3 linked regions of the Ovis aries genome follow. The protein of the gene in region 1 binds, or shares a complex with, the protein of each later gene. Links are inferred from orthologs where the notes say so. Each region holds a gene or a part of one and is shown on either strand. Other genes may lie near its edges.

Region 1 (3,560 bases):
ACTTATGCCCTCGACCAAAGTTTTCTGTGTCTGAAAGTCTTTAACTGATGGCAGATTAAGTAAGAGAAAATGTAGGTAGCTTGTCAAAAGATAAGAGAGGCCTCTTGTGTGACAGAGATCCTGGCCTCGTCATAGGCTTTGGAAGCAGGACATGGTCACCCTTAGGCAGTCAGGTTTGCGTTTGGGATCCTGGTAAAGGGCTACTTCCCTGTGCTGCTTGTGCCCCCAAAACCCCTCCCCCTTGCAGCCACCCTCCTTTGTATCGATGCTTGTGAGATTGCTTGTACCTAGAGTGAGCCCCTGGACATTCTCAGTTCAGTTAATGTTCCAGAAATACCAATTCTGAGCAAGCTGGAATGGTCAGTTACCCTGTGTGTTTTCCTTATAATGTGATCAGTTACGATGTTTTGCTCAAGTTTAGTTCCAGTTAAATAAATTGAAACTGGAAGAAGAGCCTTTGTAGAAGTATGAAAACTTCACAGCAGAGGAGTTGTGAGGCCGAGTTTGCTGTAATTTTGAAAAAGGGCAGGAGAAGAGGTAATGCATTCATGCATTATGTCTCTTTAGAGCCGGAAGAGAATGGCGATTTAGGGGAAACGCTTGATAAACTCAATAGTGCTATTGTTAGAGTTTTCACATGCGCAGAAACTAAAGCTCATTGTCTTGAAGTTGTATTTTTCTTAAAATAGAAATGCATGTGTTTTGCTTTTGTTTCTAAATTCTAAGTACAGCTGTTAACAAATAAATGGAAGTGAAAAAGATACTCTTCCTGGGTCTCTGCAGTGTTACTTTCCATAAATAGCTAATAAATTTCTTTGCTTTCCAAACATTTTCTTTGCCCATCCAGAGTCACACACACATGTGCCTGCTTTACAAGTTAGTGAGCAGAGCTCTTCCTGCATTTTGAGTGCATAGTATTCCATTGTGTGAAAAGTCTCTCTGGATCAGTCCCTTCTTGAAAGTCACTTGATTTGTTGCTAAGATTTTGTTACTACAAACAGTGTTCCAGTGATCATTGCTTGTATGTCTCATGATGTCTGTAGAAGGCGTTTATCTAAATATCATTGCCACGCTGACTTTCAGTTCACTTTTTTATTGTGACCCGTTCCATTGCCCTTGTAGCTTTGCTTTATAGTGCATTTGGTGTCATCATTGAGAAGACAAGAGGTGCAGAAGATGACCTTAACACAGTAGCAGCTGGAACTATGACAGGCATGTTGTATAAATGTACAGGTAGGTACCATTAAACGGTGGAACTGTCTCTTAATACAGTTGAAGTATGCTTTTTTGGCCATACTGTAGTTTTTAAAAGAATTTTTTTTTTTTGGTAGTGGTAGTATAGTGTTCTTTGATACCTCACGGTTTTCGATTTTATTTTTTAATTTTCATAAAATACACAAAAAATTGACCATCCAAACTGTTTAAATGTACAGTTCAATTATGTTAAGTATATTAACATTGTTATGCAACTCCAGAACTTTTCTTCATCGTATAAAACTGAAACTCTGCCCACTAAACAACAACTCTGTCCTCCCCCTTCTGCAGCCCCTGGCAACCACCATTCTACTTTCTATGAATCTGATTCCTTAAGGGACCTCATGGAAGTGGAGTCTTGTAGTGTTTTTCTTTTAGTGACTGGCTTATTTCATTCAGTATAACCTCACGGTGCAGCATGCATCAGAATTTCCTTCCTTTTTAAGGCTGAATAGTGCGCCATCGTCCGTGCACACACATACACCACATTCCATTCACTCATCTGTCGGTGGGCTCTCGGGTTGCTTCTGCCGTTGGCTGCCGTGCATGATGTTGTTATGAACATGGTGGAGTAAATCCTAAGAGTTGAATCAAAATTACCTGGATGAAGATCAAATATCAAATTGTCCTCTAAGATGGAAAAGAAATGAACATTTGCTGAGTTATGGTTATATTCTCAGTAGTAACCACTTAATGTATAACTTGTTAAACTCTGTGAAGTGATCATCACAATACCCCAGTTTTATAGATGAGCACATTAAAGACGTTCTTTTTCAAAAGATCATAAAACTAGTGACAGCCCCAGATTTTTCTCACATTTGTTTTAAATTGCCTAAATTTATGCCATAATTGCCTGTTTATGTTTTGTACTCAGGCCTCTGAACAGTACTTCTGATTGTTTTATTATGCTTCAGACACTTCAGTAATTTTTGTTCTTAGGTAATTCCTCCATCACAAACATCAAGTAGCATTTTTTGCCTCACTTTTACTAGAAATGAGAGTGAAGTCTCTCTTACAGGATTATAAAATCTAAAATTTCATGGTATGTCTGAGAGCGAGAGGCTTTTTTAATACTGAAAATGGTAACATTTGGAATTGTATCCCTAAGAGCTCACAAGACTTCTTGCAGCACGTGCCTGTTCTGATACACATCAGCAGAGCTCCTAGGCATAATAAGATAGGAAAGATCTCCTAGGCACAATAAGACAGGAAATATCTTTTGTATACACGAAAATGTTGGCATAGAAAAACCTTGTTAAAAACCTAAAAATACTTTCACACTGAAAATCTCTGGGGTCAGACAAAGGAGTTTAAAACCTTAATTGGCACCACAGGGGTGGCACTCAGCCAGCAAGTGTTTAATCGGCCCAAACTGTGTTTATGAAAGATCAAAGTAAAATTTAAGGAACAGGAGATTCCACACAAAAATCTGGAGATTTTAGCTTCTTTTGCAAAAATGGAAGACACACGGCTCACGTTGTGTACGGTAGCAGATGGCAGGAGCTGCTCTGGGGGAGCTGCTGCCCCAGGGGATGGACACGGGAGCTCCAGCTCAGTCCTCACCCGTCCCCGCTTTCTTACTCAGCGTCAGCCATTACAGCATTTCCTGTGTTGGGGGCAGCCTTAAGTATAAGAATGGACTGAATTACCACCTCGTTTAAGACACATTACACATATTTTAAAGACACAAAGGGGAAGGCTGAATACTTGGGATTATCACAGGAGAAAAATGAGAACCTAGTTTTCTGTGTCCAGGACTTCTTGCAGGAATAGCATCTTCCCAGCCTGGGACATCTCCAGCATAAATTATGGAAAAGAATGCTCATGGCTCAGAAGAGAAAAAGCAAAAAAGAATATTCATTAGTGCTTTGTCAGGTGACAAGTGGGTTTCCGTTTTTCAGATTTCAGTTTCCACCACAATTGTGGAACACAGAAGAGGTGAATGACCTGCTGACCCAGAATTCCAACACTGGTTCCTAGTTCCCAGCTGATTAGTTTAATTCAGCACATCAAAATTTCGGACGGAGGCAAAGCAGTGTCTTTTACTGATTTCTGGTTTAGACGCCACTTAAAGCACAGAATTTCATGTGGCAGGAATTTATTAAAAAACTCCCATATTCAAGGATTTGGAAAACAGTTTGGGTGCTCCTTCAGTCTAGAGTCAGCCTAAACCACGAAGGAAAGGAGACGGATGCTGGTAGCCCAGTGTCAGTGTACGTGACGCCACTGACGTGTACACTCACCAGTGGCAAATATTTTGTTATGTGTATTTTATCACAATTTTAAAAAGAATTTTTTAAAACCAA
Region 2 (4,105 bases), on another chromosome or scaffold:
AACTGTCAGTGTTAAGGACGAAATGTCTATTCCATACCCCACCTCCCCTCCTCCTCATAGGACAGGAATAGGGGTCAGTAACACGTATTGTTGGGAATCCCTGGTAGCTCAGAGGTTAAAGCATCTGCCCGCAATGCGGGAGACCCGGGTTCGATCCCTGGGTAGGGAAGATTCCCCTGGAGAAGGAAATGGCAACCCACTCCCGTCCAAGTATTCTTGCCTGGAGAATTCCATGGACGGAGGAGCCTCGTAGGCTACAGTCCACGGGGTCGCAAAGAGTCGGACACGACCGAGCGACTTCACTTTCACTTTCTTTCACTTTCAACACGTATTGTTAACAAGGAAATGCCTGCCACCCCACTGCTTGGTGCACAATAGGCCCATGCTAGATATCAAGCGGCAGTATCCGCAACAAAGTGCCTGTCAAGTCGGGCACATGGTAGGCCTCTCTTCTCTTAGTTCTCTCACCAGGCTCCAAATGTTTGAGGATGCCTCTCTTGGCCAAGCGGGTCTGCAACGCAACAGGCAGCGGCATAGCGGATGGCAGACAGGCCTACGGAAGGACAGACAGCCTGAAAAACAGCTCAGATGAGGACTGAATCTGGTTACAAGAGTAACCAAGGGCCTCCCCGCAGCATGTACTCAATCTGGACCCCCATCTACACTAGGAGGGAAATAGACCCTACCCGCTGAAAGGTGGAAGGGGTTGTAAACAGCAATATCACCAACACTCTCACCAACTCCGCTCTCCCAGGCCAGTGGCTGCAGCACCGGGTTCCCGTCCTAGGCCCAGGCTCCGCCCAGCCCAAGGGGCCATGCGCGGCTCCCCCACTACCCAAAATGGTTTCACCCAACGTCCCCCAAAGACTGCTGGGTGGGAGGAACCAAAGCGTTGGGATGGGGGAGCACAGTGTAACACCTCCTCCAGCTCCAAAAAATGCACCCACCCCAAATTACCAATACAGTCACGCAAGTAGTGGACGACTTTCCAACTGGCCACCTCTCTCTCGTCGTCTCTATGAGCGCCAGGACCACACGACTCTCTTCTCCCAAAGCACAGAATGAGTTTCTCTCTCCCCGAGCTTAGACGTAACTGCACGACGCTCACGCAGTGAAAAGATGACGCAAACCTACCTAGCCAATGAGAATGCGCTTTGATCTGAAGTCTGGCGAAACAACAGAACCGTTGCCCTGGGATAGGTGGAAAGCTCGGGCGCTTGTATACGTTTCCAGTGGAGGTGTGGCCCGGCCAGGGTTTAGCGATACTGCGCGGCCGGACGCCGGCGCCATGGAGGAGTATGCTCGGGAACCTTGGTACAGCGAGGGGCATAGGTGTCGGGACTGTTGCTGCGGCGCCACGGCCAGCGGTGGGAGGCGGGTGGGGGAGGCACGGGCCACACAGCGCCACGTCCCAGACTCGGAACACATTTAGATTTTTGTTGTCTTCTGCTCCTCTCCACTTGGTTTCTCTTACTCGGGCTCCGTTAAAAGGGGCCACAATTGTGTGCCTGCAGAAGAAGGTTTGGTGCAGGACGGACCACTCCACGTTTTCCTTGATTCCGTACCTCCCAGCCCCTCTGTTAAAGACACGCTGGTCGAATCCATTCCAGCCAGGGGGTGGTGCGGTGTTGAGCGGGTATCCCCTGGAAAAACGCATGGTTTTTCCCAGGTCGCTTTGGTTAATGCTGGCGGGGCCTGGATGAGCCTGACCATGATTGTGGTCATGGAGGGGTGATGGGTCCTCCGCACTCTATGTGCTTGATTTTCCCCAGTTGTGCGAGGGTGAAAAGGGAAGAGGACGTGGCTTTGTTGGACGTGCTCATTATCGGAAAAAGGGGTGCTACCCCATTCTGCTTAAGGAACAGTGCCTGCAACACCTGTAGCGTAATTCAAACGTGCCAATTCTTTAATTAATGCCCTCTCATTAATTCATTTAATCTTTGACAGTAGTCAACCAGTTGGTTGATTCCCTGGTTGGCTGTGAAGGGGAGGGGCGGACAGGGCCAAGACTGATGTTTTCCCCTCTTCACATTATTTTTTGCTTAAATGAGGGGAGAAATAATCCCAGTATTATCTGAAGTGCTAGTTCTCATTTGGGTGACGTATTGCTCCCAGTTGGAAAGAGATCTTGTGACTTGGCATGAGGGAGCGCTCACATTAACCTCATCCTCCCCTTCCCGCTTGCAGCCCATGGCGAATTGTGGATGATTGCGGTGGAGCCTTCACTATGGGTGTTATCGGCGGTGGAGTCTTCCAGGCCATTAAGGGCTTCCGTAATGCCCCTGTCGTGAGTCCTAGCCTTCCCTGGGTGCTGCTGAGGTCCTGCCCTGACCACATGGGATACTGTTCTGAAACTGCTTGGAACTGCCAGTCACGTGCACTTATTCATTCTGGTGTCTGCTTACCTACTGTGTGGCAGGCCTAGCTCCAGGATCTGGGAGTTTGGGGGAACTGCAAACATGACCTCTGACCCTCACCCTGCTGGAGCTCCTCAGAAATGCTGTGCTGTCAAAAGGGTCATAAAACCAAAACCTAATTGTGTGCAAAGTCAGTCAGATTTTACCTAGAGTCAGATTCTGGGTGGGAAGCCTGGGAAAAGGGAAGTGACAGGAGTTTAACTGGCAGGAGGAGGACAGCCTTAAAGTTGAGCACATGCTTTTAATGTAACATAATCAATTCTCTCTCTCTGACAACACTCCCCTTTTCCCTTCTTGGGAGATCTCATCGAATGTCATGACTTTAAATGCTATCCACTTGCCAAGGTCTCTGCAATTTCTCTAGCCCTGTACTTCCTCCCAAATCCTGGCACTCTCTTTCCTGAATCTTTGTCCAGGTTTCTCCCTCTCATCCTCAAGGTCTCAGAACAAATGCCCCCTTCCTTTAAGAGGCCTTTCCTGACCTCTCAGCCACTGTCATAGCTCTTTATCTCATTTCCTCTAGGGTCCTGATTGCTGCCTGAAGCTATCTTGTTTATCTGAATCCTTATTCAGGATCTGTCTCTCCCACTATAATGTGAGCTCTGAGAGGGTAGGGGCCAGGTCTACCTTGTTCACTGCTGTATCCCTGCATATACCATGGTGCTTGGCACATCAGTGCTAAGTACTGAATGAATGAATAACTTCCTATCCTAGCTTTGAGAGCACTTGTAGTGGGCCCTAGTTCTTGGCCACTTCTCCACATCTGTACCCTTGAGGCCCCTAACAGGTTTCCTCCCTCCATTCCTCTCTTAAAAACTAGAAACCTTATCTGCCAGTGACCTGAACCCTGCTCTGACTCCCTTCCTCCTCACTTTCCCTCAGGGAATGCGGCACCGATTGAGAGGCAGTGTCAATGCTGTAAGGATCAGAGCCCCTCAGATTGGAGGTGAGAGGTTTGGGGAGACACGTATGATAACAGAGTTGGGAATGCTTGCTCCTTGGAGTCTAGACTGCAAGTTGAGGGTCCAGATTCTAGCCCCAACTCTGCCTGGGGCTTCCCGGGGGGAGTGTTATTTCTCGGCAGTTTCATACGGGTGAGTTGTGGAGTTTAAATCCAGGCCCTGGCTCTTCCCTGATGTCTGTGTGACCTTGGGCTAGTGGCTGAACCTCTCTGAACCTCACCTGTAACATGGGAATGATAAAAGCAGTAACCACCTCAATCAGTTTTGTCGTTTATGTAACTTACATAGTACTTACTAAGTGCTGGTTGCTTGCTAAGCACTTTGATAATATTAACTAATAAAAATTTTCAGAAGTCAGTAACATGAAGTGTGTAGATCAGGTCTTGGCACATGGTAAGACTTCTGTAAATAACTATCATTGTTAACTGGCTCTCCTCACCCATTTCCTTCTCTCCTAAACCCAGGTCAGATTCCAATTCTATGTGGTAGTTACGAAGGTCAGAGTTGCTCTGTTAAAAGCCGTATAGACAGAAGTTCCCTGGTGGCCTAGTGGTTAGGATTCTGAGCTTTCATTGCTGTGACCTGGGTTCAGTCCCAGGTTGGGGAACTGAGATCTTGAAAGTCCAATGACAGGGCCAAAAAAAAAAAAAAGCCACATTGAAGCAGACAAGTCTGCTTGTAACCACGTATCCGCTCCCTATGAAGGTGAAGGGAGTGCTGATGGGG
Region 3 (4,351 bases), on another chromosome or scaffold:
AGCAGAAACATTAATAGAGGTGAGTTCCCTGGTGGTCCAGGGGTTAAGACTTGGTGCTTTCACTGCTGAGGCCGAGTTTGATTCCTGGCTGGGGAAGTAAGATCCCATAAGCTACTTGGTGCAGCCAAGAAAAAAAGAAAAAAAAGACAAAGGAGAGTCACTAGCTGTAAAAGGTTAATGATCCTACGATCAGAACGGAAATGAGCATTTTAAAAATCAGTAAAAAACAGCAGGATTCAGATCAGAGAGCAGCCACAGTATTCCACAAGATGATGTCTAAAACAAATGAAAAAAAAAAAGATAATAATAAAAAAAATGCAAGACGGAAACAGCTTCCGAACCGCGTCTGCGGAAATCAGTGTCCCTCACAAAGCTAAGTTGAGCCCAGACTCTAAACATAAATGCCAGGCAAACACAGGGCAACAGGGAACCAATAATGAATCACATGATCAAAAGTTACCATTTTTAAATACCCAATACGGTGGGCTTCCCGGTGGCTCAGTGGTAAAGAATCCTCCTTCCAGTGCAGGAGACATAGGTTCAGTCTCCGAGTCGGGAAGATCCCCTGAAGATCTACTGGCAGCCCACTCCAGTGTTCTCACCTGGAGAGCTCCATGGACAGAGGAGCCTGGCGGCTACAGTCCAAGGGGATGGGGACGCAGAGAGTCAGCTAAGACTGAGCGGCTGCACAGTACACGGTTTAGGCGGTTTATGACGCAAACAGCCTTACCTTCTGGAAAGCCAGCCTATTTCCTTATGAAGTGAAGTGTTAGCTGCTCAGTCATGTCCGACTTCTTGCAATGCCATGGGCTGCAACCCACCAGGCTTCTCTGTCCATGGGATTTTCCAGGCAAGAATACTGGAGTGGGGTGCCATTTCTTACTCCAGGGGATCTTCCCGACCCAGGGATTGAACCCGGGTCTCCTGCATTGCAGGCAGACTCTTTACCATCTGAGTTACCAGGGAGGCCCTTATAGAGTGCCTAGTCTTTTAACTTTGCAAAAGAATATTCCTGTTTCCTCTCCATTTCACAGATGAACAGAGGCTAAGAGATGAAGCGCTTTGAGCAAGATCACACAGGTATTGATAGAACCAATTCAAATACAAACCCCCCAAGTTCTTTCTACCACAGACCAAGGGCTTCTGAGAACACGTGATCAAAGAGTGAGATGAAGATGAAGCTATGACATACTCAGGACGGAACTAAAGAGCCTCCTGATGAAGGTGAGAGAGTGAAAAGGCTGGCTTAAAACTCAACGTTCAAAAAACTAACAAGAGCATGGCGTCGGGTCCCATCAAACAGATGGAAAAGTGGAGACAGTAACAGGCTTTCTTCTCTTGGGCTCCAAAACCACTGCGAATGATGGCTGGAGCCATGAAATTAAAAGATACTTGCCCCCTTTCAGGAAAGCTGTGACAAACCTAGACAGTGTATTAAAAAGCAGAGACATCACTTTGCCAACAAAGGTTCGTATAGTCAAGGCAATGGTTTTTCCAGTATTCATGTACCGATGTGAGAGCTGAACCATAAAGAAGGCTGAGTGCCGAAGAATTGATGCTTCCAAATTGTGGTGCTGGGGAAGACTCTTGAGAGTCCCATGGACTGCAAGATCATCAAACCAATGGATCCTAAAAGAAATCAACCCTGAATATCCACTGGAAGGGCTGAAGCTGAAGCTCTGGCCACCTGGTGTGAAGAGCTGACTCACTGGAAAAGACCGTGACGCTGGAAGACTGAGGGCAAGAGGAGAAGGGGGCAAAAGAGGATGAGATGGTTGGGCAGCATCATCGACTCAATGGACATGAGTTTGAGCAAACTCCAGGAGCTAGTGAAGGTCAGGGAAGCCTGGTGTGCGGCCGTCCATGGGGTCGCAAAGAGTCAGACACAACCTAGAGACTGAACAAACTGAATAGAGAATGGAAATTTAATATTCTAAAATCTTTAACCCAACACAGTCACATATTTCCCCCTCCTACCGCCCCGTGTCACATACGGAGGAGCAAGTGACAACGGCGGCGCCGCGCTGAGCCCTGCACACCTGAGCACCACCCACGAAGGGGGGCCACTGTCTTTGGAGAAGATAAATTTAAAGAGCTGGGAGGCGCTGAAACACACGCTCTGTCTCATTTCAGAGAGGACAACAGCAGGAAGCAGCAGCCTGGCTAGCTCGGGCAGTGTCAAAGCCCTGGGCCCTTTCACACAGCTGGAGAACACCCTGGTTCCTGCCCCTGCACTCTTGCACAAGAACTCAAATAACAAGATCTGATTTGTCATTCTTGACCCCAGAAGGCTTGAACTCCTCCACGCTTTCACTCCTGGGACAGACGAACGAACGGACCGCTGTCGGCGCCTTGGCGAGCACACTCCACTCTCCCCGTTCTCCTGGGCGCGCCGTCCCGTCCCCACCACGCGGGGCCCCCTCCACCGCCCGCTCCCCACCGCCCGGACCGCAGCCGCCGCGCCACGCGGACCCTCCCAGGACACGGCCGCCTCCCCTCGCAGGGCGAGCCGCGCGGACGCAAGGACGAGCCCAGGATCGCCAGCGGGCAGCGGGGATGCTCCCCACACGCCGCCGGGCAGGGGTCGCGGCGACACAGACGAGCCGGGGCGCCCTCGAGCCGCCGCAAGGTCACCGGGAACAGCTCCGGCGGCCCCAGCCGGCCGCTCACGTCCGGGTGCCCCCGGCCCCTGGCGCCGCCCAGCCCGCAGCTGAGAGCGGCCTCGAACCGGGAGCGCGGGGGCCCGGGGATCCGGGGCCGAAGGCGGCAGCGGGGCAGGCGGCAGGCAGGCTCACCAGGGCTCGCGCGCGTACTCCTCCATCTTGCCTCCGCGGCTCCGCGATGCCGGGCGAACAGAGCGGGGCCGGCCCGGCGGCGGAAGTGATCCCAGGAGGAGAGCGTTAGACTCTGCGAGGATTGGCTGGCCGCCTCCCGCTGCAGCCAATCGGAGCCGGGGACTGAGCTGCGGGGCGAGGGCGGGACCCCGGCTCAGAGGGCGGGGCGGGGCTGGGGGCGGGGCTCCTGGCGGAAGGCAGGGCTCTGGGAGTGGGCGGGGCTCCGGCGCAGAGGGCGGGGCGGGGCGTAGGGTGCCGGGGGCGGGGCGTAGGGTGCCGGGGGCGGGGCGGGGCTCCAGGTGCGGAGAGGTACCCATCACTGAAGTCACCCGCCCGGGTTGCTCCGCTGGAGCTCCCCTAACTCCTGGACCCGTTTCTTTGTTCTAGCACCTGGCTGTCAAGTGTGCATGAATGCTACCTACTTCGTCTGGGTGGGTGAGGCCCCACCGACTTCCCGGAGCTCCTGAGGGCAGGCAGTGCCCAGGTCCTTTGACTCTCAGCGCTGGGAAGTAGTGGGTGTCCCTTAAATGTTTTTGATAATCTGGGACGCTGTGACCCGTGGGGGTTTCTACACACCGGAGCATGAGAAGGTCTCCCCTTGGAAACCGTTGCTATAAGCAGGTCTCCTGACAAGGCTGAGGCAGGACTGCCCCTGGAGCAGGGGTCTTCAAGCTCCAGGACACTAAAGGTACAGCTCTCTCTCCCCTCACTTGAGCAGACTGTCTGCCCTCCAGGGTAATAGCGATGTACAGTGAGCTCACAGACTGATGGCATCTTGTGTGGAGGATGCAAGGGAGAAGCCTTCTCCACACTCACACCTGCAGAGGGATGCACGTTTTCAGAACCGACATCCCCTTAGAGGGTCCTACTCCCCAGTGGGTTGAGCTCCAGTGAGCCAGAGGCTTGGGTGCCTCAACAGCTCCACCCAGCAGAAGGTCGCCGCCCCCAGCCCCACCTGGCCTGATGGATGAGTGAAGCTGGCACCACCTCCGGCTCTGGGTCTGGGGCTCTGGTCTATGACTGGGGCCTGATGGGGGTTTAGGCTGGGCAGGGGTGGGGGTGGGGAGGTGGGCTCTTTTCTGCCCTCTCCCCCCTCCCCCACCCTCTTTTCAGGAAGATGTGTGCCCTCTGCCCTCTCTCTTGGGGCTCTCCGCTCCTCCCAGGAGTGTGGGCCAGGCCAGGGGCTGGCTTCAGAGGCAGAGTCTGCTTCGCCAGAGGAACCTCCGGCCTCCCTGACGGGGAGGAAGCTGGGGAGGAAGCTGGGGAGGCCGTAAACGGCGCGGACAGGCCAAGTGCTCGCAGCGCCCCTTGCCTTGTGCGCGCCATCGTATTGGCGTCTTCAGTAACTCCATGGCGCTTGCAGTGAGCGTTCTTCTTTCTCCAGGTACTTCTAGGATTCTTGTCTTCCATTTCCTGCAGCTCAGAAAGGGTAAATAACTCACTCAAGGGCACACATTTCAGATTTGAGCCCATGTCATTCGACTCTGGAGACACGGCCTTATCTGCCACACTATACT

What was found. Proteins that work in one complex are often made in the same cells at the same time.
Region 2: mitochondrial import inner membrane translocase subunit Tim23 (region 1) and TIMM17B share a complex: the UniProt entries of both Homo sapiens proteins name them as parts of the TIM23 complex. The link is inferred for Ovis aries from reciprocal best matches to the Homo sapiens genes TIMM23 and TIMM17B.
Region 3: mitochondrial import inner membrane translocase subunit Tim23 (region 1) and TIMM17A share a complex: the UniProt entries of both Homo sapiens proteins name them as parts of the TIM23 complex. The link is inferred for Ovis aries from reciprocal best matches to the Homo sapiens genes TIMM23 and TIMM17A.

Annotation. Positions count from the first base shown.
Region 1 is NC_056078.1:42,999,198-43,002,757, forward strand, and holds part of mitochondrial import inner membrane translocase subunit Tim23, read left to right. Parts: intron 1-1,122; coding exon 1,123-1,233; intron 1,234-3,560. UniProt on the Homo sapiens protein: Essential component of the TIM23 complex, a complex that mediates the translocation of transit peptide-containing proteins across the mitochondrial inner membrane.
Region 2 is NC_056080.1:56,177,443-56,181,547, forward strand, and holds the start of TIMM17B (mitochondrial import inner membrane translocase subunit Tim17-B), read left to right. Parts: upstream 1-1,251; 5' UTR 1,252-1,288; coding exon 1,289-1,314; intron 1,315-2,187; coding exon 2,188-2,287; intron 2,288-3,299; coding exon 3,300-3,363; intron 3,364-4,105. Other genes in the region: PQBP1 (polyglutamine-binding protein 1), read right to left, coding at 469-535. UniProt on the Homo sapiens protein: Essential component of the TIM23 complex, a complex that mediates the translocation of transit peptide-containing proteins across the mitochondrial inner membrane.
Region 3 is NC_056065.1:79,927,885-79,932,235, forward strand, and holds the start of TIMM17A (mitochondrial import inner membrane translocase subunit Tim17-A), read right to left. Parts: upstream 2,855-4,351; 5' UTR 2,822-2,854; coding exon 2,796-2,821; intron 1-2,795. UniProt on the Homo sapiens protein: Essential component of the TIM23 complex, a complex that mediates the translocation of transit peptide-containing proteins across the mitochondrial inner membrane.